Oryzias latipes: one gene and its partners. The protein of the gene in region 1 interacts with the protein of each later gene in a biochemical or structural test. Links are inferred from orthologs where the notes say so. Each region holds a gene or a part of one and is shown in the gene's direction. Other genes may lie near its edges. The genes, in order: ret, grb10 and tln1.

Region 1 (10,078 bases):
AGGAGGATCTACTGTCCAGCAGGATCCCTGACGGTCACATGTGCAGCCGTGGACTCTCTGGTCGTAAAGGTTTTGCGTGTCCTCTGTTGCAGGTCGCTGTCCTATGTGACGTGTACGGGCGCTCTGTCTTTCCTGCTGCTTGGAGGCATGTATTTCCTCATCGACGTCCGGGGCTGGTGGGGAGGACAGCCTTTCCTTTATCCAGGTCATTTTCACACTAAACCTGTGCAGAAACCGCAAAACATCAGCAACACGGCTTTTGGCAGACTGTTCCACACGGACATGTTCTGTCAGCGACCTCCATCCAGATTAGAGACTTTTCCAGACGCATCAGTCAAAACGCCGTTATAGTGATGCTGGAGAGGAGGAATCATTACAAACCAGCAGAGTGTCATAAAAGTCACTTTTCATTTAAAGAAAAGTTGATGAAAATCGTTTTCTGAGGAATAAGAAACGCAGAGATTCTTGTTTTTTAAATCTGTCTTGATCCAAACGACAGTTAAAGTTTCACACAAAATCAGCTCCAGCTGTGTCCAAAGTGACACAGCTGTCCAACTTGAGGATGCTGGGAAGGTCTGGTCTGCACAAGCTAAACGCTTCAGATGTGAAAAGAGAGATTTATGCAGGTTGGATTTCCAGCCCTGAGAATGAACCAAATCAAAGACAGACGAGGGTCTGGATTTGGTCTCCAGAGGATAAATAAACACAAAGAACAGACAGAAATGATGATGATGCTCCGTGTTAAACAGAGATGTGTCCTCGGAGCAGCGTGTCAGGTGGTGTGGTGACCTGGACCGACCACCCCGAACATGAACCACGCAGGTGGAGCTGCAGGCTGTGAGACGGAGGTTTAAGGCGGATGGAGCAGATGTGACACCAACACTGTTTCATCAGGAATCCGCCTCTGATCGTTCGGTGTGGAACACATGGATGCCGCCGCAGCCGCAGGCTAACAACAAAATGACGTCTTTCTGGAGGATTTTTAGCATCATTTGGTCAAAATGTCTTTTTATTCTGCAGAAATGATTCAGATGAAAACAAATGAAGAAAAGTAAAGACTTGTACAGAAAATTGTCCTCTATTATTTTATGAATCGTTCATCAAAAGACATCCAAATGTTGAATCAAAGTAACCACAGATTTTTTGTTTTGCTGTAAAAGTCTGACTCCCTGTACCGTTTCCCTCTCTGCTGTCAGGGATGAACTCCATCTTGGTGTACGTCGGACACTCCCTGCTGGGCTTCTACTTCCCGTTCAGCTGGAATATGCGTTTCCAGGACAGCCACTGGGAATTCCTGTTCCAGGGCGTGTGGGGAACGTCCCTGTGGGTGCTGGCCGCCTACCTGCTCTACAGGAAGGCCTTCTTCCTCAGAATATGACCAGCGTATGGAAACTGACCGCTGTCTGACAAATAAACCACATGGATGGGAAAGGGTCCTCATTAGTCCTGAGAGGTTTGTGCGGGTGCAGAGGTAGAGCGGTCGACCTCTTATCGGAAGACTGCAGGTTCAGTTCCTGCCCTCCCATGTGTTGAAGTGTCCTTGGGCAAGACACTGAACCCCACACTGCTCCCTGTGGTTGTCGGCTGGTGCCAGTGCTCGTCAGTGTGGGTGTGTTGATGGATGAACGTGACGTAGTAAAGCGCTGGAGGCGGATACGCCGTTCACCATTTCTGATCAGGTCTGCTGTCAGGATGTTTGAAAAACGGCCGCGGCGGCCTGGACCCCCTCAGCCTGTTTGTGAAGAAGACATGAGGGGGGACAGCGTGGGATTTATTCCATGCCACTTGTTTTCAGCGCAGAATAGATGATTAAATCAAATATATTAAGGTGCTACTTAACAAATTAGGCCAAGTGATTCAGTGACACACCAGGAAAACCATTACAGGTCCGTTACCATGGTCACTACTCTTTCTCCCCTCAGTGCGTGTGTGTGTGTGTGCGTGTGTGTGTGTGTGTGTGTGTGTGTGTGTGTGTGCCATCTGCTGTCCCGGTGACAGTACTTGAACAGGGTCAAGATGCAGGGCTCTCAGAGGAGTGCTGTTAATGGGAACTGGCACCTCTTCCATTCTCTGTATCAGTAAATCAGGGAAATGAAACCCATTAAATTCATCAGATGCTCCACTTCAGCAAAGCCAAACCGTCCTCCATGGTCTGCATTTAGTTTTGTGAATTTACTCTCAGATTTTGTAACAAGAAGAAAACCGCACCAACGTGGAGGGTTCTGGACTGGATGGGTAATGAAGCAGGTGAGCTGCTGGTCCGGTGGAAGCTGTGATTGACAGATGATTTGGAGCCAGGGTTGGTTTCCCGTGGAGTGGCGGGAGGTCAAAGGTGGTGGAGACGAGTTTGGTGGGATCCCCTGCAGAATGTCTCAGGGTGCAGATCCTTCTGCATCTTCAAACTGGAACCTGGAGTGGGTGGAGATCCCGGCATCGTTTGTTCTTGTGTGCCGACGCCTTTGCAGCGACTTCTTTAACATGAGACCACTGATCAATATTCTGCTTCTATTTCATCCTGAACTTCTGCTGCAGGCCCCGCCTCCCCTTCATCTGGGAGCATGATCATCAGTACTGAAAACGCACGGCGGCTGCTCAGCATGTTCGCTTCGCCGCATTTCCTCGTCTTATTGATCCACACAGAGTCTCAGGATACCTATAGGCTGCCGTATGGAAACTTTATCTGTTGCGCTCCAGCCGCCTGCTCGGCTCCTGATGTCATGTGATCGTGTCCTCAAACTCCCATGATGCTCTGAGGTGCTTCACACTTGTTCAGATTGTAGAATCCACTCCGTATCAACGTTTTTGATTTTGTGATTCCAAACCAAACCTGAAGGAGTTTTATGAGAATCGTTTCATTATCAGCCCACATAAACAGTCTCCAGCAGATTCTGCATCTTTGTTTTCATCTTATTTATGTCTTTACAGAAATGCAAACTAAACATCTGCAAACAGAGGAATCATTGGTTTTAAAATGGCAGAGGAGGAGGAGGTGCTGTTCTCCTGTCAACAGAGGAAGCTCTGTGACCTCCTGTTCGCTCTGAGAGCCTCACGCTTTGGCATCAGGCAGGGGGTGGAAGGACGCCGCCTTGGCCTCGCCTCAGCATCCCTTCAGCCTGTCATACCTCAGCCCCCCAGGCCCAGGGGAAAGGTCTCCCACAATTTGACCACACATGAAAGGCTCTTGATATGTTAGCATAAAAGGCTAAAATAAGAAAAGTGAGTCATGAAATCAGAATTTAAAAAAGCAAATGCCCAAACAGATACCTGAGAGTCCCTGAACCACAGCATGAAGACGGTCGAGGGAGGCGGGTCTGTCCCTAACATCCAGGACAAAACAAGGGAGATGACCCCCCCAGGGAAGAAGGCAGTGCAGCTGTCAGGAATCACTCAGATGTCTCAGTGAGAAACATTTACGCTCAGAACATCATGACGTCATAAAACATCATCTTTGCCTGTGAATTCTTACGTAAGTTTTAGTTTTATTACAAATAGTTCGTATTTTTATTTCTAAAGCTTTTTTAAGCCGCAGAGAAACTTAAAAAAATGTCATTCTAAAATGTTTGCATAAAAGTGAACAGAATGAAAACAAAGATGAAGGTCCACAGAACAGGTATGAGTTGATGAGCTGCTGATGAATGACCCCCCTCCCCCCGCGCGGGCGAACACACACCCCTGTGGAGCTGCCCATATACACACACACACACACACACACACACACACACACACACACACACACACACACACACACACACACACACACACACACACACACACACACACACACACACACACACACACCCAGCCACCGCTGGAGGAGCCTCTCTCTGCAGCGCGTCGGTGGGACGGTGAGGAGTTCATCTGTCTACCCGGAGCGGCGCGCGCAGGACGCACGCGGGGGTCTGTCTTTTGCGGGTGTCTTCTCCCTTTCAGCGCGAACTTTTTGGGCTTTTCCCGGTTGTGTATCTGTTGCGGGTTGGAAGCAGGAACTTGCGTGGATTGTGTCTGCGTTGAAAACTTTCCCCTAATGGTGGTGCGGGATGGAGTCACGCTGTGGTTTCTGTGCGGGAACAGCCGCTGCGCTGCAGCTGCTGCTGCTGCTGCTGCTGCTTGGAGGTAAGGCGCCGGTTCATCCCGGATAACCGGGAAAACACACCCGGTTTGAGCGGAAAACATGTTATAGTAACTGTGGCTGCGTGGTTTTCACTGCGGACTGCGGGTTTTTTTTGTGTTAGACACCGGAACCAGAACTTTCCGGGATGTATATTAGAGCTAAACTGGACGGAACTTTGACAAATTCATGAACATCTGAAGGAAAAAGCAGCTCAGTGCGCAGAAGTTTGCGCATGTTCAGGTGAAAGAGAAAATGACGAAAAGCTTTTCAGCAGCTGCGTGATTCGAGTGCGTGATGTTCCTCCGATGGCCCGCAGAGAGCGGTCAGTCTGTCGGACACCCCATAATATTATAATCCCATTCACAATCCCACAGCCCAACTGTCCCAACACGGTCTAAATTTAAAGAGTGCGTCACTCAGGAGGCTGGACCCCCAGAAGATCTCTGCTTTTGTTACAGATTCACAATCAGAGTTAGAAGTTGGGGCAAAAAGCTCTGAAATGCCCCATCATCATCGAGCTTCTGCTGCTTTATTTCACCTGAAGTGGGGGCTATTAAACTTCTAATCCCCCCTTTATGGGTGTAGAGCGTCTTTATGCTCTTCATAAAATAAATGCTGTGGTTTTATGATCTTTCACGAGGAAAACAAGTTCAGACTGAAGCCCCAAACATGGCTCCTCCTCTGTGGACCGAAGGTCACCGCTCCCCCCGCTGGATTTACCCAGTCAAGGCTGTGCTGGTAATTAAAGGGGTGCTGAAATCTACACCCGTCCGGCCCGGCACCGCAGCCATCACCTCCATCACCTGGCGGCTCCGAGCAACAAAAGAGCCGCGTGCGTGCCGTGCGTCCAGGCAGGCGCTGCAGGCAGGTGTGCAGCAGCTGCTGTCTCTGGGCAAACATGGCTGTTTGTTTGCAGGAGGTGCAGGGCGCACGCCAACCCGATTCCATCCTGCATGGAGCTGCTGGTTCACTGGAACAAAGATCTTCTGGGTGATGGCGTCACCGTCCTCTGAAGGACTTCTGTTCTTCCCGCCTTCAGGAGTTTACAGTTTGCTGTTTTTTATTCAAATCTATAATAGTGGCGTGTTGAAAGGATCATTTAGAAGCTTCTCTTAGTTAAAGTCCGACATGGGGACAGAAACTGCAGATGAAGTGAAGTTTCTGTCCATCACAGATTTTTGCTGTTATTTATTACAACAACACCTTACTTCGTTGGGTTTTGGATTCAACTAAAATATTGTGTTTTTGAGCGTTTTTCTATCCGGGTCTGGTGGAAATAATCTCATCTGTGGACAGATTGATCCGCCGGAGGAGCGCAGATGTTTTCACATTAAAGCATTGATCCGTTTGTCGTCCTCTCTGACCTTGTTACTGTATCTTTGACCCGGCGCTGACCTCTGACCTGAGGAACTGAAACAAAGTGCTAACACTCCTCCTTCAGCCCAGAGCACCTTCCCCTCATCCTCCTCCTCCTCACTTCAGCATCGTCGCTTTCATCAGCACTTTTTGAGGAGAACCAGACCAATAACTCTCCTTTGACACTTGCTGCTATTTGATTTAGCTCCTGATTGGATCAGACATTTTTCTGTGTAATAGATGCCGTTTCAATGTCACATCCAGCACCACTGAAAGTCTAAGTCATTATTACAACCAAACAGTGGAGGATTCAGAGCTGCTGTTGGAGCAGCTGAAGGTTTTAGATAGTAGAAGAGACATTTGATTAGAAGGTTTTGTGTGGTTACTTCCTCTCTGAGCTGCTTACAGTAAAAACATGATCAGAGCCACAGCATTGGGTTCGAAGCTTTGAGTTTTTGCAACATTTTTGGCATTTTTTGGTGCAAAAGGTGAATTTCCCTGTGGAAGCTGTGAGACTCCGCCCTTCTCCTGCACTCCAGGATGAAGATGCAAAGCGTAAACTCCAGGCTTTTGCTTCCGCTGCTGTTTCCATCGCAGACGAGGCTGCCCCCCGTACCTGTCAGAGCTCTGCGTCTCATCCTGCAGTCAGTTCAGGGTCACACTTCCCTCCCATGCACAGGAACAATCTAATTTGCTGCGGTGAAAGCACAAGGAGACATTGATTGAAATTTCTCCCTCAGGGCATTTAGCCCCCTTGTCTCACATGGGTTTTGACAAGTTATTTTCCAGTTTCCAAGCCGTGCTTACCGAGCCCGACCATCACTTACAACAGCAAATGGATCACAGAGCAAAGTCAGCTCATTCTAATGCACAATGTGCTCTTAACAGTAAAAATTAGGGTTGTGTTTCACCTGAGAGCACGGCTCATTTCTGCAGTCACAGCAACATGTTCTCCTTTTCCTTCCTTTGCTCATTTTCCATCTGTCTCTCTGGCTTCATGTTTATTTTTCCAACAAGCCTTTAGATTTAAGTAGCCCTCAAAATGGCTGTAAGATACCTGCTGCTGAACGGCTGCAACATTAGAACCTTCCAGAAGGCTGAGCCCAGCAAATGACAATGATATGGCTGCACCAAGCTGTATGGAGGTGCGTGGAGGTGCATGAAGGAGCGTGGAGGTGATGGAGGAGCGTGGAGGTGAGTGGAGGTGAGTGGAGGTGATGGAAGTGTGTGGAGGTGAGTGGAGGTGCATGAAGGAGCGTGGAGGTGATGGAGGTGTCTGGAGGTGCATGACAGCTGTGTTGATGTCTGAGCCCTCTGGACCTTCAATAACTGCTTCATGAAAGTGAACATTAAAATGACCCCCCCACACACACCACCCCTCATTGCTCACTGGCTGCTCTCGGCAGGAACGTCTGCAGGAACGTCTGCAGGATCACCTGCGTCTGTGAGGCGTCATAAATGGCGTCCAGCTGCCTTGTGCTGCTTGTGAAGCTTCTTCTGCACATTGAAGCTCCAGAACATCCATGTTGGTTTTGGAGCTTGACGATCGCTCATATGGATCTGTGCTTTCTGCAGAATCTGAAGGAAATCTTGTGGCTTAGCATCAGTTTGGACAAAGGTTTGATGCCCCCCCCACCCCCCACCCCCCAGAGGAATTTCCAAACTGCGGATTTTCTTTGGGGAAATGTTCTGTTGCTTTCTTGCTGAGCGATGAACATGGATCGTTGCATCTCAGCTCTCGTGTTCTCTCAGGGCTAATTGGATTACATGACAGGGTAATTGATCATTATGTTATGGTATGCATGGCTGTAAACTGAGTAATCTACCTGCAGCCTGACCGCCTCCTCCAAACCGGATCGTATATCTCATCATGCTGATGAAAAGTGGGATGAGTGTGTCATCATAACAGGAAATGGCCGTCCTGTTATTAGACCTCCATGTTTGGAGATTAAAATCGCTGCAGGCTTGATTTGATCAGATCCAGGTTCTGACTGCTGTGTGACAGGATGAAGCAACGGCGCATAATAACACAGGAAACCCAGACCTCCAAACATTCTGATCAATAACAGCTTTTAAGGTGGAATTGTTGTCAAATGTGCAGCTTTTTAGTTAATTGAATCTGTGGAGAAAATCCTTCTCATAACTGCCAGAGCTTTGGAGGTTTGCTGTGTTTATGTCTCCGTCGTGTCGCTGCGTGCAGTCGTTTGGTTATAGATTAGAAAATGGAGATAAGGTGGAACCGGCGGTGAAATCAGAACCGCTCTGCCCTCCGCGCAGCAGGAAAAGAGGATTCAGCCGTCAGCATTAGCCGTGTCCGTCTCATCAGTGCAAAACAATCAGCATCACTGCTGATTAGCACGGTTATTGATTAGCCTGCTGCCAGAAACACGGCCTCTCCAATGAGGTTATTAGCAGGAACTGAAAGGTCACACGTTGACCTTGAGGGAGGAGAAGCCGGGCTGGGCTGGTCTCTGCTCCATCCACAAGACTCTTCTCAATGCGGCGCATCAAACATGACCACGTCCTGTTCTTTAAGTGTGGGGGCACGGATGACTCTGCTGCATGAGCTCATAGCTGGTAAATCTTTCATCTGAAGTGCGCTTGAGGTAATTGAGTTCCTGTCTTTGTCTGGGACGATGGCGAGGGCGTTCCACCCTATCGGCTCTGACCGGTCCCAGACACTCTGGAAGTCACCTGAGACGTGGTCATGTGATGATCTTTGTTCTGGAACACCTAAAATGCAGCGAGGCGCCGTAAAAACTGCTGGGCGTGGAGAGGTGATGTGGTGGGAGCGCGTCTCCGGCCGGCAGTGCCGGATGCCTCCTGGAAACAGCGACTGAAACAAACAGCGTCTCTGTTTGCACCACGGTTTCATCTTTGCAGATGACGCCATGTTTAGACGCCGAGCTTCCGTTTTATTGGTGGACGGAGGCTGTAAAACACATGTATGATGTTTACACACTGATTGAAGAGAGGCTGCATTATCTGAGCTCTTTCTTCATATGAGCCACATCTTCTGAAAGCCCCGCCCCCACAAACAAACCTGCCCCCCCTCGCGAATCAGCCGCGCGGCTCTGTTGAATTTCTTCCTGTTTGTGCCTCAATGGGGCATCTTTAAAGAGCAGGAAGGAGAAAAATCCTCACAGACTAGAGATGCTGTTTGCTGGGTGGAGGGGGGGGCGTCCATCCAATTAATTAGTTTTGATAGAAAGTGCTCACTTTCTGCTGGCTTCTGTCCAGCTGAGAAATAGAATTCTGAATGATATCAAGAATTCCCGCTGCAGGAGGCTCAGCGACCGACGGTGGCTGGTAGCCAGAACCTTCTTCTCTAATGAGTTAACGCCCTCTGGGTTTCTCTGTGGACCTGCAGTCATCTGCTGATTCATGACTCTGCATTTTTTTATCCAGCTGAAACTCAGCTGGAAGCTTTGAAAACATTCAGATCTTCTTAAAATGACTCCTGTTGTCCATGATGGTCAGGACTGAGGTCTGGATTCTCTGATCCATGAAGACATTTCCGGCTGTTTCAGCGTGAGAATAGCTCCCTCTAGTGGCTCTAAAAGGCTCCCAGACAGGCGTTCAAGTCTGCAATAAACAGGCCGTTAACAGGCTGATGCTTTACAGCCATCCTGTCAGTCATTTATCAAACTAAATTAAAGAAAAATCAATTTCCCAAACAAATAAATTAGATTCTTTTCTTCTCCTAACTAACAATTGAGAGTTTTTATATTATTTGAAGCACTTTGAGCCTTCAAGGACGGTAGAAAAGCGTTATACAAGTATACGCCATGTATTTATTCCATCCCATTATGAAACGCTAAGAAGTAAAAATGTTGAAGTGTTTCATCCAAACGTTCCCTGATTCAGTTCTGGAAAATAAATCCTGGTAGATGGTCTGCAGCGGTGACCCGATTCCTGCAGCTGCTTCGTTTGCAGGAACACTTAATAAAAAGCTCTGCATCTCCACTGAGTACATCTCCATCCTTCAGGAAGGACGCCCACATTTTATCCATCAGCTCGACCTCCTGTCATCCAAGCCAGGCAAAATTAAATCAATGCCTGCAACCAGAGCCGAGCCTCGACTCCACCAACAGACGGAGAAAATCTAGTTTTGCCGTCTGCTAATGACATTAGTGCGTTCCCTGGATGGTCGCCCACGTCGCTGAAGAGGAGCATAACAAGGATATAATTACAGGAGGAACACATCTCAATTTTCCTGTAAAACCCGCAGCGTTCCAGCGCTTTATGGATCGCTGCTGCGCACGCACTCACACCCCTAATGACTCACCTCTCCAGCATCCTGTTTTTCAATTAAACATCTGAAGGTGACTTCAAGGAGACTGGGAAACCGCGCTATTGACCACACCAGGAAATTCATTCAAATGTGCGCATAAAGTGTCATTTGAAGCACCCAACATCTGCAGATGCTGTTTCTGCAGCTCTACACCCAGAGTGTGATCTGTGGTATTCATGATGCAGGTGTACAGACATCACGGACAGACATCACGCCTTTGCTTCCTGCCATGACAAAGCAGACTGCTTTGTGATTTTGCTGCGTTTGCGTCTCTGCAGGAGCGGCGGGGCTGTACTTCCCTCAGAAGGAATACATTG
Region 2 (10,394 bases), on another chromosome or scaffold:
AATAAATCTGACATGTTGAAACTATTATTCGAATAGTCTTCACATAGTGCTTTGTTGTTGTTTTTTTTAAGAAGTGAATAAGCTATTAAATACTGTGTGAGCACAAAGACATTTGGAGATAAATTCTTCAAGGGTGTTTTAGACTACATTTGCCAAGTAGAGCTGGAAATCTCCTCACCCAAAGCTTGTGTTTTCTACCAGAGGTCTTGAGGGTCCTGCACAGAATATATGCTGTTCCTGCACTTTTCTGGACTGCACGTCTACGGTTCTCCCAGTGATGTGCTGTAGCCACTCCTTGCATCGTCAATGTTGGCGCAACCAGACCATCCATTATAAACAACCTCTGAAATGACCAGAGCCACAAATTTGATTGACACTGCATTCGTAGCTCACATCTATTACTATAATAGTTTTGTTTGCCTAACCCATTTAAGCCTTAAAGTAAAGATGTTTGTAACTTTACCAAAACCTTATTCTGACTGATAAAGTGCTGCCCATTTGCAAACGGTGAGGGAAAAAAGTATTGGAACACCCTGTGATTTTGCAAGTTCTCCCACTTAGAAAATCATGGAGAGGTCTGACATTTTCATATTATGCGCATGTCTAAGGTGAGAGAAACATAATCTGAAATAAAAAAGGTGAAAATAGCATTGCATGTTTTGTTTTTTTATTTGTATGCTACTGCTAAATAGAACTATTTGAATGTGATTTCCAGGTTTTTTGTTTTTAGACTTTGTCTCTCACGGTGGACATGCACCTGGTATGAAAATGTCAAACCCCCTTCCTGATTTTTAAGTGGAAGAACTTGCAGACTCACCGGGTTTTGCCTCCCTATTTAAATGTTAGAGCAGGCATGTCCAAAGTGCGGTCCGTGGGCCAAATGAGGCATGCGTTCAAATATCAAACTGCTCACAGACTCCTGTCATAAAATCAATAATACACAGCACCTTCTAAGAACTGTGTGTACAATTTCTTGATTGTGATAGGCCAAATGACGCTATAGGCTGTTGTAAACCTGTGGCAACAACCTGGGGTTACTTACTTATCTTTAGAGCCTTAAGGCCGTTGTTTGTTTCTTTTCTCAACATAAGATAACTATTTGTTATTTTCCTGTTTACACAATTTGAATATAGAAGTTTACAGTCAGTGAGCATTTAATTATAAATATGAAACATTTCCTATGAACCCAGATTTTATGGTGACGAAAGGCTTTTTTTCCAGATAAAATTTTCCTTTATTTTGATATGTATTTACACCATTTTTTTGTTCAATTTAAAGAAATGAAAAGTCTCCTATTGCACAAAAACAACAACAACAAAAAAACATTAGTATTATTATTAAATCATTATATTGTATTTCTTTTGCTAACCACATTTTTTGGGGCTGACTCATGAATGATGGACACTGTGATGTCATCTACCAGCAGAAGGTACACAGACAGGTTTCCTACACTGGGAACTTTCTTTTGCATCTCATCCATCAAGCTGAACAAAGACTGTGTGATAATGAATGTCTGATGAAGGGTAATCCACACAGTATGTGTTTGTTTTATGCCACGGTGCCAGACTTAAAATGAATGCCTTGTTGTGTAGAGGCACCTCGGCTATGATGTGCACTTGCATATGTGTGACTCAGGGGCTATAAGTGTGTGGACACAGTAGGAGCCTCCATGTCCTAATCCAAGCACACACAAGCGACTCAGGATTGATGATTTTATGCACTTCAGTGTCCCATGGTGCTTTCCCATCAAAAAACCTGAAATATTACACGCTGGATAGCCAGGAGCTGAACTCTGGGTCAACCCTGTTCTCCCCGTGGCCAAAGACATAAATTAATCAGAAGGTACTCTTGGGTTTACTACAAGTCATTCTATTTGTGTTTAAATCTCTATACGCTTCAACAAAGGAGTTAGATAACATGCCCCTCTGATGTTCCTCTCAGTCTAGTAATAAACACTGTAATATCTTATGCAATAGGAAAACACTCAGAGGGATGAAAACATAACAGTTCGGAGATGGAACTCTGGCGCAATGAGTTTTGACCCCAGGTTGTGCAACTTTGTACCTCCCTGTGAATTCAGCTTTACTGCAGATTGTGCCTGTCAGAACAGGGTCTTCTTATAAGGGAAGTTGTGTTTGCTACCTAAGGCAACTCTGTCACAACACAAAACGAATGTGTCTTCAATGGAGACTCCTGGAAGTCCTTGTGTTTGGGAACTGTTGGTGACACGTATGTGAAATACAACAAATGATCAAGTCAGTCTGAGCTTTGTGAAAGACCCACTCGGATGATCTTTTGATTTATTTTAAATGTGATCCCAGTTGTCTTTTAATTATGATTGTTCTGTTTTTAGCCAAAAAAAAAAAAAAAAGTTGTTGTTTTTTGGACCTAGTTTCCGCAGAGCAGAAGTAGTTGTTTTGAAATTCACCTCTGAGTTGTGGATGGATTATTGGCATGGAAGAAGCCCGCCCCTATTTCCCGACATCCATCTGTTAACACGCGCTCCCACTAGCTTACTGCCCCTCACATCCCCAACCTAACAGTACAAATCCAACCACAACATCAAAATGTCAAGCATTTTGGAGACAAATACCAGCTCAAATGAGGAAAACAAAGGCGTACATGGATCTATTTGTCTGCCAGTGGATGCACCAGAACAGAGCGCAGCAGGGAACTACAATCTTTTTTCCAACCGCATTTTTTATTCCCCTGCTACTGATTCACAAGGATTTGAATAAAAAAATACTCAGAAATGCAACTTTAAGCCTAATTGTTTAAAAATATGTCCTCAAAAAAATGAGTAGAACACATTAAAAACACAATTTTTATAGGTTTGAGTCGCTAAGGAAAAGGTCATAATACCTGCCGTTATAAATAATGTATTTAGGCATCTGGCTCCAAAGCAAGTCAGAACTAAATGATGATCAATATGTTTTGGCCTTACAACTGTTCTGATTTTAAAGTTAAAACATTTCCATACCTTGACATCATTTTTTAAATCATTAAAAACCTCTTTTATCCTCTCAAGAAAATGTATACCTATTATTTTATCAGCTGTAGGGACTATTTTTCTTTCTTTCTTTTTCTTTTTTTTGGTTTATGGGTTTTGAAACAAATCATAAGAAGACAGATATTAAAAAGGTTCAGCAATCCTGTCAAGGAACAAAGATAAAGTTTGACTAATGAATTAAATGTTTCAAGCAGTCTGGGAGGAGCACAATCTGAATTACATATTATGTAATGTTTCCCCAACTATTAGGTAATTACATCTTTTTCAAAAATCAGTTTTGATGAGCAAAACTTAAAGAAAACAAATACAAATTGGTACTTAGACTGCAAAGAGAAGCCATGTAGTGGATTATTTTTATCATTAAACATAAGAAATATACAAAAAACGTGTAAATTAAGAAGCATTACAGCTTAGGTCACAACTTAATACACTTTAGATAGTGAAAAAAAAAAATTGAAGTTAAGGCTTTCTGAAAATAAGTTAAATGAAAATAGAAAGCATTAAAAAGTGAAAACTATCTGCCAACAAGTGTGATTTTGCACAATCCAACGATAATTTGTTTATCTGGCTCTTTAAAAAGAAAAAAGAGAAAGAAGAGGGAGAACCAGAGTAACCCTTTGGACCCGCCCTTTTTCTCACATCATGAGACAGTGGTGGGCGTGGCCTTTTTCAGAAAGGGGAGGGGTTGTTTGAGCGCGTTCAGGTTTGTCTGCGTGTACGTGCGTGTCCTCCTCCCTTGGCCGCATGACATGAGCTGCCCTACAGTCTTTGCTGCCACTGTTTTTGCCTCCTCCTCCTCCTCCTCCTCTCTTCTTCCTCCTCCTCCTCCTCTTCTTCCTCCTCTTGCCTCAGTCAGTCTGTCCAGCCTGGGAATGTTGACCGACGTGGCCTGATCCAGCGCCGGCCAGTGTCCTTCGTCTTCGGACAGTCAGTGTTTTTTGTCCGCCTGCCTGCCCCGAACGGCTCCGTTTCTAAACTAAAGGTGAGGCGCGTGTTGATTTTTTGCTTTACTGCTCCTCATGCATGTGATAGAATTCTCTCCATTCCTTCAGCATGTGTGTGTGTTTTGGTTGAGGATGGTTAGTCAGTGCGGTAAAAGTTCCCTGCGCCGCTGGGATGACACATGCTTGTTTCGGAACACATGTGCGCACTGTGCGTAAAACCGCGCAGTCAGACCTGCCTCCATCTCCAAAAGCGACAACTTTGAAAACAAGTTATTAACAAGGAGTCGATGCAATCGAGCTTTTTATTTTATTTTATTTTATTTTTTTTGCCCTCCATGTTTTCTTTCCAACGTGGACTTCTGCTTGCTTCCAAACTGGATTCTCGAGGCATGACCGTAAACTGCAGCGCATGTCATGCGTTTTTTCCACGCCTTTCTGAGGGAGCTGTGCTGCTCCGGTCGCCCTCTGGGGACGGTATTTTGATCCCACACTTGTTTCAACCCGGCTACTATTTTAACCCCCCTCCCTCCTCCTCCTCTGGTTTCAACACCAGCTCGGTTGTGTGGGAGTTCCAGTCTGGCCTTATCGCTTTATCCTAAGATTGGAGGAGGAGGATGATGATGATGAGGAGGAGGAGGAGGAGGAGGAGGCGTTTTCCCTGAGATACTCACGTAGACCTGCAGTGTGGTAAAGCTCCCACTCAGAGGATGTCTAGGAAAATTCCTGCAGTCGATACTGGGAAGGTAAAAACAAATAAAGAAGAAACTGTAAAGCAGTTTCTAGGTCCCTTAAGGGAGTTACAGAGGCTGTTTTGGAGGACTCCCCAAACCTTACTTGCCGAACATGAAAGTTTCTATATCCTTATTCATTTTCAGGAAGCTATGATCTGCTTATAGTTCTGTTTTGCCTGTAATCTACTTCACTTCGTCTCAGCCCTGCAGTAGACATGATCAAAGTGCATGACATTTCTGCAAAGCTAAAAAAAAAGAAGTTGCAGATGAAGTCGGTGACAACAGATCTCTACAAACCACGTCTTTCATGATAATCCTAATTTATTGACACAGTCTTGCAAAAAAATTAGCTTAAAGCTCCACTCCAACCATCTATTGATCTTTTGTTAAAAGCGTTCCCAGTGGTCATTTACTTATGATTATGCCGTTTACATCCAATATATTAAAAAAAACTTGTGTTTTTTTTCTTGGATTTAGTTTCTGCAGACTGACAGGAATTCATTAGAAATTCACCTCGAACTTGTGGGCGGTACTATTGGTACGGCGTAAGCCCGACCCTACTTCCCATCATCCATCTGTTTGCACTCTCTCTCTTGCTAGCTTGCAGCCTCTCAAACTGCCTAGATCAGTGTTTTTCAACCAGTGTGCCGCGGCACGTACACTAGTGTGCCCGTGGGAGAGGGTCAGATGTGCCGTGGGAAATTGCCCTCATTAACTGATCTAAAAACATTTACCATCTCCAGGATATCAGTTCTGTGTTCATCCAAACAGGCCCTGATAAAACACTGAGGAGTTAGGAATATGAAAGATCGTAAAATACTTGATTCTATTAAAGACATTTTGATAAGAATGACAGTACCGAGATTTAGCCGCAGCTTCAGCTGTTTTCGGAGAAGTCCCGCCCCTTTAACTGTCTCCACCAATCATTCTTGGAGTCTTAATCACACGTCATCAGTCTGACCAATCAGAAGTGGTTAAAGTCTTCACTTCCTTGTTCTGATTTAGCTCATAAAGTCTCTCAGTTCCAACAAAAATACCAGCTAAAGCTCGTCTTTAGCGGTGTAGCTTGCCACAAAACCCAGAGTCAGACCGTGGAACGAGTGAACAAAACAATGAAGCTCAGAGACGCTAGTCTTTCTGCGTTTGGCGTCTGTTTGCACTACATCTCCCATGATGCATTGGGTTAAAGTGACAGCATCTCAGCGCACAATGAGTCTTTCCTTTTTAAACGTCTTGAAACCACATTGAACACACATCAGACAGTTTTTAAATCTTTTAACTTAACTTTTATTACATATTTTAGAAAACACAGCTGGAACTTCCAGCTTTTTCTGCCACAATTATCACAAAAATGCATGTGAGATTGCAGAGGAGCTGTAGATCAATACAGACTATGAGTTTCTCCTTTTTTTTTGTAATTTTTGGATGCTGGCGTGCTGCGGGATTTTTGTCAAGGTTAAAGTTTGGCGTAGCTCAAAAAAGGTTGAAAAACACTGGTTGTAGCAAACATTAGCGGTGCAACAAAAATAGCGAGCATTATTGGAGCTATCTGATATTGGAGCAGGGAGATCTTTTTGAAACCGCATTTTTTTTCGTCTGATTCACAACGATTTGAATAACGCAAAAAATCAGAAATGCAATTTTTAACTAAATTTTCTTTATCTACGTCCTCCATCATCAGAAAAATGCCACAAGAACATGTTAGAAACGCTAAAAACCCATTTGTAATTGGAGTGGGTCTTTCACGCTCAGCAGTAGACTGGAGAATGCTGCATAAACATTTATGGTTCCTGGTAGTATTGATGCAGTCAGGTTGACTGTAAATCAATGTTCTTACTTGGAATTTGCGAGATTTGAAAGAGGGTTTGAAGCAGCCTTAATTTGAATTTGTGAGAAAAATTCCAAATAGGCTCTTGTTAGTTTGAAATTTCAATAAAAAACAATTGACATCTTCTTGCAGAGTTCTCTCTCAGAGATGTAGGCATTAAAAACAGATGAATGTACTTGCAGTGGCTTTATAGGGACATTTGTTTATTGTTGCCTTTAATACATGCAGCACACTTTTTCAAATGTAGTTTTGATTTGATTGGGATTAGGTCTGCACAACAAATTCATTGTTGCAATATTGGGCCGTGCGATTTGCATGACGCAACAGACAGCACAAACTGCAGTAAATGATTACCTTAAATATTTACGCACATGCAATACACTCTCATGGGAGCTTAAAGTATCAAGGAGAGCCCTTTACGCATTTGACCAAGCGGATGGAGCCCTTTTTTTGTTAGATGCCCCCCTCCTATAAATTAATAGATGTGAGACATTTAAAGTTGACCTTATATTCAAATCTTGCTGTGAAATGAAAATGTTGTTTTAGTTGTTTATTCATTTGTTTTGCTATTTGTTCATATCGTCGATCACCAAAATTGAACATCGCACGTTTTCCTCACGTCCTGCAGCCCTAATTGTGATTATTTAATGTGAATGCAAGTTTTGAAGAGCAAACGCTTGTTTTTCTGGGACTACTAGTGTGTTGTTGTGTCCCTTTGGTCATGGTGGATCATTGTCCACAACATACTTGGCACTGCTGTTAGATTAACCAAACAATACCCCGAATTGACACTCTGTGGTTGCGTATTGAGTTTGTCATAGGACCGTCAGTTGGTTTACATTGCCTCCCCCCTCCCTCTGGCTCCTGGAGGAGTGGTTTGTCCTGCCAAATCTGTGCAGAGTAGTTCCTTCCGCTCTGTTCGTTCGTCAGAACCTAAGCAATCAGACCCCATGCCCGCTCCTTCCTCACTACCTCCCTTTAAAATGCATGTATTGTGTCATTGTGTTTCCGGGGGAACGGACTGGAGATAGAACTCCTGCGTAAAGCTGGCGTTGCGTTGCAGAGTGTTGGACCTGAGACGCAGACGTGACGGAGAGGATGTAAACATTCCAATTCATTTAAAAAAGTTTCTATATTTTTTGCATCGTTGCAATGCAACAGAGACACACCACAGTTTGACCAGAGTATATCAGCCTCTATTATTAGTCGTGACATCGTTGTGTAGTCACATCTAGTGCCATAATTTCAGTTTGCAACCAACTCTTGTTGGTTTGCAATGTTGCCCCATTCACCCATCCCCCACACCATACATTGAATTTACATGCACACTTTGGCCAAATTTGGTGGATTTTGTGGACTTATTCTTAATAGTTAAATACAAGTTTAAGCATAAGTGAAAACACATTAATGATGTTTTCCTTTAAAGGTGATTTTAAAAAAAAATTCCTCCCACTATTTATTTGTATTTTGGTCACACCGCAGTGCACATGGCAACTAACTGAGCTTCCCCGCCTACCCCCCACTGCCCAGACAACTTGCTATTTCAAGTCTATGCTAAATAAGCACAGGCATGATGGGGCACGAGCCTGTCAAGATTACAATCTGTCAGACTGCGTTTATTGCACGATATTTTGCAAAAGTACTATTTTTGACAGACTTTTGACTCATTTACTGTGCGCAAATGTACATATTAATATGTTAAGGCTCGACAGTACTCACAATTGGGACATATTTTACATTCCCCTGTCTTTAATCCTCACCCAATTTGTCTTTGTGTCTGGGATGATTTAAATCTTTATATTGATATGTGTCTATGTGTAATGACATTGAAACAGTTTTTTAGGTGGAAACCTGGCAGAGGTCTCCTCTTAGCTGGTACTGGTGGTATAAGAGCTTGCAGTCACGCTCTAGGCAGCATTCCATGAGGTCTTGCGTCACCTAGCAGTCATTCAGCACCGGTTAGTCGGGGCTTATACTCTGTTAATACCCCCTCACTGGTGTCATGACACTATCAGCTAACCCTACATAGAGACATCAGCAAAGTTTATGTCACTAGCTCCTGCTTGACAAACAAACAACAAACACTCTCACTCTTGCTACTAGAAAGCGAATTTTATTCAATTTCTTAATGCAAGTCCATTTAGGTCCACAACAGGAAACTTTGTATGCAAATACTATACATTTGTTGATCAACTTTAGTCTAAAATTTGAATGAAGAGCATGATGTGACTGCAATATTTTGCATTTAGAGCAAACAAGTTTCAGAAAACAAAAAAGGAGTGCAACAAGTAGTGTTATAAAGATGTGCTAGAAATGTCCCTTAAAGACACTTCTAATCTGTAGATGTTTGAATGCATTTAGTAACATATTACTATGACTACGCTAACTTCTTATCTTGTTAGTCAGATTAATGTAACTGATCAAATTTGAAGCATCTCAGAAATGCATGAATGTGCAAGTGTGTGCTGCTGCCTGTTGACCAATCTACATTGGTGGACAAAATTGTTGGTACCCCTCAGTTAAAGAAAGAAAGTCCACAATGCTCACTGAAATGACTTGAGACGTTCAAATGTAACAATAAATTAAAATGTTTTGAAAATTAAATAATCAAAATCAGCCATTACTTTTGAGTTGTTGATTAACAGAATCATTTAAAAAAACAAACCAGTGAAATAGGGCTGGACAAAAATGATGGTACCCATAACTTAATATTTTGTTGCACAACCTTTTGATGCAATCACTGCAATTAAATGGTTTCTGTATTTGTCATTGATCCTTCTGCACCTGTCCACAGGTATTTTGGCCCACTCCTCATGAGCAAACTGCTCCAGTTGTCTCAGGTTTGACGGGTGTCTTCTCCAAATGGCATGTTTCAGCTCCTTCCACAGATGTTCAATGGGATTCAGATCTGGGCTCATAGAAGGCCACTTCAGAATAGTCCAACGCTTTTCTCTTAGCCATTCTTGGGGTTTTTGGCTGTGTGTTTTGGATCGTTGTCTTGTTGGAAGACCCATGACCTGCAACTGAGACCAAGCTTTCTGACACTAGGCAGCACATTTCTACCCAGAATGCCTTGATAATCTGGAGATTTCATTTGACCTTGCACAAATGACACAACAAGACACCCTGGGGCAGATGCAGCAAAGCAGCCCCAAAACAGAACGGAGCCTCCTCCATGTTTCACAGTAGGGACAGTGTTCTTTTCGTTGTATGCTTCATTTTTGAGTCTACCAACATAGAGCTGATGTGCCTTACCAAAAAGCTCCAGTTTTGTCTTATCTGTCCAAAGGACATTTTCCCAGAAGCTTTGTGGCTTGTCAACATGCATTTTTGCAAATTCCAGTCTGGCTTTTTAATGATTTCCTTTCAACAGTGGTGTCCTCCTTGATCGTCTCCCATGAAGTCCACTCTGGCTCAAACAACGATGAATGGTGCGATCTGACACTGATGTACCTTGATCTAGGAGTTCACCTTTAATGTCATTGGAGGTTGTTCTGGGCTCTTTTGATACAGTTCCAACTATCCATCTCCTCAATTTGTCATCAATTTTCCTTTTCCGGCCACGTCCAGGTAGGTTGGCTACTGTCCCGTGGGCCAAAATACCTGTGGACAGGTGCAGAAGGTTCATTGACAAATACAGAAACCGTTTAATTGCAGTGATTGCCTCAAAAGGTTGTACAACAAAATATTAAGTTATGGGTACCATCATTTATGTCCAGCCCTATTTCATTAGTTGTTTTTTTTAATAATTCTGTTTATCAACAACTCAAAAGTAATGGCTGATTTTGATTGTTTAATTTTCAATAAATTTTAATTTATTGTTACTTTTGAACATTTCAGGTCATTTCAGTGAGCATTGTGGACTTTCTTTCTTTAACTGA
Region 3 (10,327 bases), on another chromosome or scaffold:
CTTCAGTGTCGCTGGTATGTCTGAGTGCGGCTGGTCTCAGAGCTCAAACCGACCTTTTCTAGCATCAGTGATCATGTACAGAACAAAGTCAGATTATTTATGTGATGTAGATATGAGTGTGTTCGGATCTGCTGAGTCATGTAAAGGCATGAATAAAGGGATTCTGAACCTGAGAGGTGTTCTGATGTGTTCTTCACAGCTGGTAATCAACGGAACTTCAGGAGTGGATCCAACAGAACAGTTGAGTTTCCCCATCGGCCACCACATTGAACTAACAACAGTTAATCTTTGACTGGAACTAGAATGCAGAACAGGAGCCACGCTTATTGAGGACCAACACTGCCACCTTGAGTTTTGTTGGTGAAATGCAGTAATGTTTTTTTTTTTTCCTGTCTGCATGTCACTCATGCATGTTTGCTTCAAGTAGAAGTAAAAATTGTTTGTCCTACCAGAGAAAATTATGTTTTCAATAAAACACTGACATGACAACCAATGTCAAACCAGGATTCACATCAGTCCTCTCTGAGGCAGACAAATAAAGTCCAGTATAAACCGATTCACTGACCTAAAATCAATCCAGGACATCTTTGGCCAAAACTTCTACCAGTGTGACTCGGATAAAAAAAAAAGTGAACTTTATTGAGTTTAAGCCACTCGGATGTGAATTTCCTACCGCCGCTCTGCAGAAACTATGCTATAGAAAACAACAGATTTCTTTTATTTTGACTAAAACGGCATAAACATCCTTAAGAGACCACAGGGAACTCATTTACAATAGATTTAAGAAAGATTAACCTGTAAAATAAATGACTAAATTAAAAATAAATCAAAGCAACTGATGCTTTCAAAGCTTGGTGAAAGACAGCTAGGAAGCCACCCTATTGACGTGTTTAACTTTATCACAAAATAAGCCTCTATCATGATTGTATTAGTCAAATTAAAAAACATCTACCTTTATGAACCGACACATTGAGAACATCATTGTGTGTGTCTGTGTCCAGGAATGGTTTGATTCCATATTAGTGGTTGGTGGCATGGAAGGATAGCACAATCCAAGGAAAGCTCATTATTGTAATTGTCCCCTTTTCAAATGTAAATCTGCTTTTCTGAATAACTTCCTGACTAGAGAAAAATTAATTGTCCAGTCAATTCTTACACTACAATTCCCAGAACCCCACCCCTTCAAATTTGGTATCCCTGAAAACCCCCAGTAGTATGCAGATATATTCTGGTTTAGAAATGTCCTAGTCTGAGGACAAATTTGCATTGCTGGTCGTCAGGAGGATATGGACACGTTTTAATTGCACTAAATCTATTCAAAAATCTTTAGTTGAATGTCTTAATAGGGTACACATCTCTCCACTGCAGGCTGCTTCCCTGTAACTACTCTACAGTCTGAGCAATATTAATCAAAAGTTGGAAATGCCTTACATAGGTCAGCAAAACAGGCTGGTGTGTCGCATAAAGGGTTAAAAAACTGATGGAATAGTAGGAATGTGGACCTCACACCTGTCTAATAATCATCATTTTTGAGGACTGAAGTGACTTTGAATGTGGCATGGTTGTTGGTGCCATTCGGGCCCGGTCTGAGTATTTCAGAAACTGCTGATCTACTGGAATTTTCACCCACAACCATCTCTAGTGTTTACAGAGAATGGTCCAAAAAAGAGAAAATATCCAGTGAGCGGCAGTTCTGTGAACAGAAATGCCTTGTTGATGGTCAGAAGAGAATGTCCAGACTGGTTCCAGCTGATACAAAGACAACAGTAATTCAAATGACCATTAGTTACAACCGAGGTCTGCAGAAGAGCATCTCTGAACGCACAACACGTCCAACCTTGAGGCAGATGGACTACAGCAGCAGAAGACCACACTGGGTGCAACTCCTGTCAGCTAAGAACAGGAATCTGAGGCTACAATTCACACAGACTCACCAAAACTGGACAATAGAAGATTATAAAAACTTTGTCTGGTCTGATGGGTCTCCATTTCTGCTGTGACATTCAAATGTTAGGGTCAGAATTTGGCATCAACAACATAAACCATAGATCCATCCTGCCTTGTATCAATGGTTCAGGCTGGTGGTGGTGTAATAGTGTTGGGGATATTTTCTTTGCACACTTTGGGCCTCTCAGTACCAGTTGACCATGGGTCCAATGCCACAGCCTACCTGAGTATCGTTGCTGACCACGTCCATCCCTTTATGACCACAGTGTACCAGCTGAAATAACTGAAAATGTCATACTCTAGGTTCTCTAAAGTAGCCACCTTTTGCTTTGATCACTGCTTTGCACACTGTTGGCATTCTCTTGATGAGCTTCAACAGGTAGTCACCTGAAATGGTTTTCCAACATTGGTGACCCTTTTGTCTTCACTCTGTGGTCCAGCTCACCCCAAACCATCTTGACTGGGTCCAGGTTTGGTGACTGTGGAGCCTGGTCATCTGCAGCACCCCATCACTCTCCTTCTTGGTCAAATAGCCCTTACACAGCCTGGAGGTGTGTCTGGGGTCATTTTCCTGTTGAAAAATAAATAATGGTCCAACTAAACGCAAACCAGATGGAATAGCATGCTGTGGTAGCCACGCTGGTTCAGTATGCCTTCAATTTGGAATAAATCCCCAACAGAGTCACCAGCAAAGCACCCCCACACCATCACACCTCTTCCTCCATGCTTCATGGTGGGAACCAGGCATGTAGAGTCCATCCGTTCATCTTTTCTGCGTCGCACAAAGACACGGTGGTTGGAACCAAAAAACTCACATTTGGACTCATCAGACCAAAGCACGGATTTCCACTGGTCTAATGTCCTTTCCTTGTGTTCTTTAGCCCAAACAAGTCTCTTCTGCTTGTTGCCTTTCTTTAGCAGTGATTTCCTAGCAGATATTCTACCATGAAGGCCTGATCCACACAGTCTCCTTGTAACAGTTGTAGAGATGTGTCTGCTGCTAGAACTCTGTGTGCCATCGAGCTGCTCTCTAATCTGAGCTGCTGTTAACCTGCCATTTCTGAGACTGCTGACTCGGATGAACTTATCCGCAGCAGCAGATGTGACTCTTGGTCTGCCTTTCCTGGGGCGGTCCGCATGTGAGCCAGTTTCTTTGTAGCGCTTGATGGTTTTTGTGAATGCACTTGGGGAGACTTTCAAAATTTTCCCAATTTTTCAGACTGACTGACCTTCATTTCTTAAAGTAATAATGGCCACTCGTTTTTTCTGTACTTAGCTGCTTTTTTCTTGCCATAATACAAATTACAACAGTCTATTCAGTAGGACTATCAGGTGTTTATCTATATGACTTCTGCACAACACAACTGATGGTCTCAACCCCATAAATAAGGCAAGAAATCCCACTTATTAAACCTGACAGGGCACACCTGTGAAGTGAAAAACATTTCAGGTGACTAACTACCTCTGGAAGCTCAAGAGAATGCCAAGAGTGTGCTAAGCAGTAAAAATCCCAGCAAAAGGTGGCTACTACGAAAAACCTAGAATATGACATATTTTTAGTTGTTTCACACTTTTTTGGAATGTATATAATTCCAGTTCCATAGTTTTGATGCCTTCAGTGTGAATCTACAATTTTCATAGTCATGAAAATAAAGAAAACTCTTTGAATGAGAAAGTGTGTCCAAACTTTTGGTCTGTACTGTACATGGATCTATTTGACTACAGTGGATGCATCAGAATGGAGCAGCGCAGGGAGCTAGTGGCTTGTCATTGTAAGTCCTACTGCATTGTGGTTGTCCATAATGATTTGATTAAAAAAAACTGTCAGTTTTCTTAATATATGTTTTCTATCAAGAAAAAAATGCTACAAGAACACGTTAAAGCACCCTATTTCTGCTGGAGGGGGTTTTAAAGGCCGCGTGTATTTGAGCGCGCGCGGTCCCGCTCTGTCCAAAGCAGCAGCGGTGGCATGACCTGAAGCTGTCCAGCTGCGGGCGGGTACCGCCGCGGTCTACACGCACACAGACCGGATCGCTGTGCTGCAGCTGGGCTCAGAGGGTGCTGCGCAAACTCCACCCTCGCGCCTCGTCAGGGTGGAGTTTGAGCAGCACCACAACTCCTAGCAGACAGGGAGGGGAGCGAAGGAAAAGCAGCGCTTGGCCTCTTCCGTCATTAAAAAACGGATTTTGTTCTGGAATTAAAAGTGGAGAAAAGTTCGACGAGGCGGGTCCCACTGCTGGAAGCGCCGCCGTCGACGGAATCGGATTCCCGCGCGCAGGTCAGACCTTCAGAGTTTTTATTTTACCAACTTCGAAAGTTTCGAGTTTGTGGCCAGGGGTCTGTGACGTCACCAGAACGATCAAAAGAACCTGAGCGAAGTGACGTGTTTACGGCTAACGGCTGCGCGCGAGGCACAGTTAAGATTACACGAAGAGGAAACGAGTTTGAAGTTACACGCGCCACATAGACATTGCCCCCCCCTCCCCTCACAACACAGACACACACACACACGCTAACACGCACGCACGCAGCTGAACCGCCGTGTCAGTGGGGCACACAGTGTGCCCCACTGAGTGTGTCCGCCGCTGCGCCCTGGAGGTTACACGAAAGCCCGTCGGGTCGCGCGGCTCGTGTTTCGGACAGGCTCCCATCAGGAGGCCCTGCGGGCCGCACCGCGCCGCTCCTGGGCGTGTTCCTCCGCGCTCTCAACCTGTAGCCTCCGGCTGCACATTCTTCCTGCACGCGGACGAGCCGCCGCGCGGCTTTGCTTTGTAGTCGTTCGTTGACATTCCCGTTTGGATGCGGCTGGAATCCCACTACTAACACCGCTGAGAGATCTGAGTGTGACGCGACTACTGTCTATTTCAGTTTGACGGAGCTGAAGAGGAATTCTTGCGAACACAAAAGAGAGATGGGGATGTAGATCAAAATAACCACCATTGAAAACATGCGACAAACACGAATAATTACATTCTTTTGTTTCACTTTAGATTTCGACTCTCATCTTTTCTTCATTGATGGACTGAAATAAAACGTTCAGTATTTCCTCAGGTGATTTACATTTTGAGGAAAAACAACTTTTGGAGGGTTTTTAAAAGTTCATAGGAAAAAAAGAATTCTTCAGGTTTGCACCTGAAGTATATCAAAACAAATGAATGTATGCACTTCAGTTAGTAATTTAGTCAAATCTGATGTAGATTCACATATAAAAATGTTCTAAAATATTCCTGGACATGAACAAGAACATGAGAGAAATATTATATATTATATTTTCACAAGGATATCAATTTTTTCACAGAATCACTTTGTTTTAGTCAATGTTTTTGGGGGCTACTGTTCGAGAAATCGGCATGAACTCCCTGCTCTTCATTCTAATGCATCCATGGATGCATGTACGTCTTGGTTTTCCTCCTCTGTAATCTGGTTCTAAAACTGTACGACTGGATCCATAGCTACAACCTTGCTTGTCATTTTTGTTGCGCCGGTAATGTTGGGTTGGGGATGTAATGGTGGGAGAGTGTGCAAGCAGAGAGCTCTCAGTTGTGGGTGACGGGTAGGGGGATCGGGGTTGCTCTGTGCCAGGGGTCCCACCTGGGGAAGTACTGATGAACGTCTGCTGCTCTGCAGAAACTATGTCCTAAAAATGTGGCTAAAAAACGGCATAATCATAATTAAAAGACCACTGGGAACACTTTACACTAGATTAAAAGATGATCGAGTGGGACTTTAACGTATAGAATAAATCAATGATGGGACCAAACAATGGTTTATAATGGCTTTTTTTTCTATGCACGCATCATTTCTGGGAACCTTTTGGTGTGAGCCGGAAAAGATCATTCTCAGGGTTTTAACTCCTCCTCCTCAAAGATCTTTAAATCTAAATATAATTTTAAAAAGAACGCTTCAGAAGATAAGAGGAAGTATAAATGTATGCTTAATCATTGAACTTTGTCTTAAAAAACAGTTCAGGGGTGTCTGGTGTTGTGTGACCAGATGCTCTCGTATTAATTATAACCTCCTGGGGAGAATGACTGACCACTAACCAGAGAAACATGACCTTTTGTCTTTATCTGATGTTGTTTGTGGAAAGGTGGCCCAGCAGTGTGGAAGGTCTCTTGGTCTCACTTTGGTGAAAAGATGTTTGCTGTTCAATTCTCTCCTGCAATTAAACACATTTCCCATGAAAAGTAGTCAGTCAGAAAATATTGGGGCAATACCTGCTGGTATAAAAAAAAAAAACTTTCTATAACAGGTCATTGTCTGTTTGCAGCTTAGACAAGTTGCACCTCTGGAGTGGAGCAGAGGCCGAGTGGGTCAGTTCAGACCAAGGCGAAAAAAAGACGCCTTACAGGCAGAAAGGAAACGGCGTGTTAAAAGGGCCTTATGTGATTCTAGTGGTGCAACGTTCATCCTAAGACTGGGAGGTCATAAGTTCAAATCTGTGGTGGCGTCATTCCGAAGACTAAAAATGGGACCCAGTGCATCCCTGCCCGACACTCAGCATTAAGGGGTTGGATTGAGGGGTTAAACCACCAAATGGTTCGATAGGGACCTGGCTGCTTATGGCGCCTAACAGCATTGGCTGGAACCGAAATCCCACCCCCAAAAAGAGTTCAGATTAAAAAAAAAACCTGTCAAGCTTCAAGTTTAAAATGGGGATTTTTTCCCCCCCTGAACAATATGGGGGGACTTCTGGTTTTGGTTGAGGACTTCCAGTTCTGGCTGTTGATGTCCGCAGACAAGTCTTGTATGGTTCCCTCCTCCCCAGAAGAGGGGTTTAATGTGGAAAACCAAATATGTGTGGAGCTAATGAGACTTTAGCAGAACTTTTAACCATTGGTCTGTTTTGAGCCGCTTTGACTAATATTTTTGGGCGAGTGGGCCCTCCTTTGTGAACATTGATCCTGTCAGCTGTTGCAACATGACCATTGAGACCATAGGGGTGACTTTTACCTGTCAATCAAAACACCTTGTCTCAATTTTGGAGCACTTTTGAGGTTCATTATGAAATAAAGAATGATGATTAAAAAGTCTACGAGAAATCCCCCAAAAATATACAATGTAGCAGTAGTGATTAAAAAAAAAAAAAAGTTCTTTGAAATCCTGTTTGGTTGAAACACAAACAGTTGTTCAAGATTATGGAGAGCAGAAACATGAAAGAATATGTTAGGAATTACTGGAATTTCACCGTCCTCCAGTTGGAGGGAAGAGGGGCTGGCAGAGGGAGGATGAAGGAGCTCCCATGAGTCAACGCTCCACACTCCCCGTTTTCACAGAAAGCGTGATGAAGTAACACCTGGGTGGTGCTTGTTCAGAGAAGTCAGTGTTCGCAGACCTCTGTTGGTGTCGGCTCAAAACCCACTTTGCAAACAAGACAGCTTAGCGCCGTAGCTGTGTGTGCTCCTAAATAGCATAGTGGCATGACAGAAATAGAAGGGTGACAGGCAACGGTGTAGGTGTGCAGAGCAGCATGCTTGACGTGCTCCGCTTTGGGCACATTTGCATTGAATTGAAGCACTTTTGAAAGAAAACGTGATGCTGAAACCTTTGACTGCTAAAGGGGCCGTGCAGTCAGTCCTGATGGGCTTGGAGTCGCGAAAAGTTGCAGGGACCCTTTTTTCTAGTCTGGATCAAAATGTTCTGTCTCAAGAGTTCCTTTTTTTCTGCTGTCTGCTCAGTTTGACTAAAATGTTTATGCGTATAGTCATTAAAAAATAATTTAAAAAAAGCAAAAATTGCCAAATCAAAGTTATTTTCCATTCCCAGTAATGCAAAACTGAGTGTTTTTAAACAAGTTTTGGCTCTGCAGTCATTTTTCTTTAGTTTTGTGGAAATATGAAAGACAGACTTTTATGACACAAACTGAAAATCCTCAAAATACTTTTTTCTATTTTTAGTAATTGTCCAAAAAATACCTGCAATTCTTCAAAACTGATCTTAAAAGATTTAAGTTAGTTTTATGGAAGCAAACCTTGTGGCATTCTTCTAACAATTGAGGACATATCAATGAAGGAAATTAAAATTAAACTTTTGCATATTTCTTAATCCAAATTGTGGTGAATCAGAACCAAAATAAAAAAAAGCCTATTGTAAAAAAAAGAAGAGCGTATTTGTGATGTAGAAAAATACACTGGGCAGGCCACAGGCTCCCTGCTCTGCTCCATTCTGATGCGTCCACTTGCAGACAAATAGATCCATGAACGTCTTTCTTTTCCTCGTCTGAGCTGGAATCTGGATCAGAACTTTACGGCAGGATAGGTCCAATAGTGCTCACCATTTTTGTTGCACTGCTAATGTTAGGTTGGGGGTGTGAGGGGCTGTTAGCTAGCAGGAGAGAGTGTAAACAGAAAGCTCTCAGTATTGGAGGTGAGGTTGGTCCTACAGGTCACCCACATCCTAGAGCTGAATTTCTAATGAACCACAGCCGCTCTGCATGAACGATTTTCTATAAAATGACAGAGGTTTTTTGATTTTGTCTGTAAACAGCATATTCACAAATAAAAGAGCAGTGGGAATGCTTTGAAAATAGATTAAAAGATGATCAGAGTGGAATCTAAGTGCGTCTACTTTTGATATTAATATTGATTTTGATTCTTGGTCACCTGGTTTAGATGTGGCAGATTGTTCTGCAGCAGAAGGTTCTGGTTGTCACTCTGTGCAGCTTCTTTTTTGACAAGTGGTGATGCTCGTAAACAAGCTTCTTTTGAACACTTTGTCGTGAGGATAGCTGTTGAATCAACATGTCTTTTAATGCGTGTCGAAGTCTTTCTTAGACTTGTGTAACAATTTTACCTTGAAACATTTCTATGAAGCGACTAATACTTCTTTTTTCTTTTTTTAAAGCGTGGTTCTCAAAATCCTGTGTTATTTCTAAGATGTTTGTCATCACTTGAGTGAAGGAAACCTGCTTTTCATTCCAGGCTTGCACACAGAATGAAGTGCAGCATTTAAGCTCAGCCATATTTGGCCATAATGGCACATGGTCCTGCTGCTGCACAGACTGATGCCTTCAGACTGTGTCAGACGTCTGGACAGTTCCGTCACAGCTGGGGCGGGAAATGTTATGTTATTCTATGAGGGTCTTGCATTCTATTCCACACAAGAAGCCATTATTCATTCATTCATTTTCTTGACCGTTTTTCCCTTTCGGGGTCACGGGGCTGCCGGAGCCTATCCCGGCCACTTGTGGGCGAAGGCAGGGGACAACCTGGACAGGTCGCCAGTCTGTCGCAGGGTAGAATGTCCACAAACACACACCCATAGATGGATTTGCGAATAATTCCTGTTTACTTGTTTGTTTATACACATATTACACTAGATTATGTTGCAAGAAATACAAGGAGTCTGGAAAACGTCACCAGAACTGTTATCTCTGAGACTGGAAAAATCCTTTGTTCTGGATCGAGTCCGCTTTACACAAGGTTCAAGTCTGAACCCCGTGTTTGGTCTGTATTCAGACTGCCATCGAGTGGCCCATTCTGTTACGGATCAAAGCTAGTAAACAAAACCACATGACTAAAGATCTCGTCAGTCATTTGCCAGAAATTACGAGGGTGGGTCAAAACAACAAGAGAAAGAGGGACATGCTGCACTTTACAATTCTTATCGGGACTGTTAACTTGTTAAAAGTTTATAAATATGTGCTTTAAGTCAGAGGATGCTAGCAACTGCAGTGCTGAGGAGACGTCAGGTAAGAAGGTACACTGCTAAGTGTTCATGACATATAGATTGTCGGGAAAAACCGTGTAAGAAGCAATGTGTGTCAAGTTCAAAGTTGTTTTAATGAGCCTGAATTAATCCAACCACAATTCAGTGAGTTGCAGTGTCTCATCATTGTGGTGTATATTGTGGTGCATATTTTTTAAAGAGAATTCTGTTAAGGAACAGAACCACAATGTAGCAATTATGGTAACGTCACAGCAGCGTGTGTTGTATAACGACACAGTGTGTAAGAAGCGTTTTCAGCCGTGTTAAAATAAATGTTCTACCAAACAAACAGTTTGACCCTTTTTGTCTGTTTGATAAGACAACAATCATTGTTTTACATTTGTCCGCGGTTCATCTGTTGCTTCATTTCTATTCTGTTTATGTCGGCTACGGTGGCTGTTTTGGTTCAGTTGTTCTGCTCTGGAAATGGACCACTTCGAAAGATGGGTCAGAGAGCGGTTCTTGGTCCTGAACCAGGGTCCATTTGGGTGTATTCAGACTGATAATTTGTTCTGGATTATCGAGAGAAAGAAACTCTGGTTCACTTTAAGCAAACTAAAGGTGTCCAGTCTGAATACAGCCTGAGTCCCACTGGTTGAATTTTTGGCTAAAGATGATCAATTTGAGGTCAGGGAATTGGATTGTTCAAAATGAACCATTCAGAACCACAAAG

Evidence for each region.
Region 2: the proteins of ret (region 1) and grb10 form a complex in vitro, tested with the Homo sapiens proteins (2 studies listed by BioGRID). The link is inferred for Oryzias latipes from reciprocal best matches to the Homo sapiens genes RET and GRB10.
Region 3: the proteins of ret (region 1) and tln1 interact in a surface display test, tested with the Homo sapiens proteins (2 studies listed by BioGRID and IntAct, with this or other methods). The link is inferred for Oryzias latipes from reciprocal best matches to the Homo sapiens genes RET and TLN1.

Annotation. Positions count from the first base shown.
Region 1 is NC_019873.2:29,912,107-29,922,184, reverse strand, and holds the start of ret (proto-oncogene tyrosine-protein kinase receptor Ret), read left to right. Parts: upstream 1-3,792; 5' UTR 3,793-4,037; coding exon 4,038-4,113; intron 4,114-10,039; coding exon 10,040-10,078. Other genes in the region: heparan-alpha-glucosaminide N-acetyltransferase, read left to right, coding at 93-205, 1,197-1,378. UniProt on the Homo sapiens protein: Receptor tyrosine-protein kinase involved in numerous cellular mechanisms including cell proliferation, neuronal navigation, cell migration, and cell differentiation in response to glia cell line-derived growth family factors (GDNF, NRTN, ARTN, PSPN and GDF15).
Region 2 is NC_019874.2:13,042,908-13,053,301, forward strand, and holds the start of grb10 (growth factor receptor-bound protein 10), read left to right. Parts: upstream 1-3,522; 5' UTR 3,523-3,992; intron 3,993-10,394.
Region 3 is NC_019870.2:24,787,116-24,797,442, forward strand, and holds the start of tln1 (talin-1), read left to right. Parts: upstream 1-4,017; 5' UTR 4,018-4,225; intron 4,226-10,327. UniProt on the Homo sapiens protein: High molecular weight cytoskeletal protein concentrated at regions of cell-matrix and cell-cell contacts. Involved in connections of major cytoskeletal structures to the plasma membrane.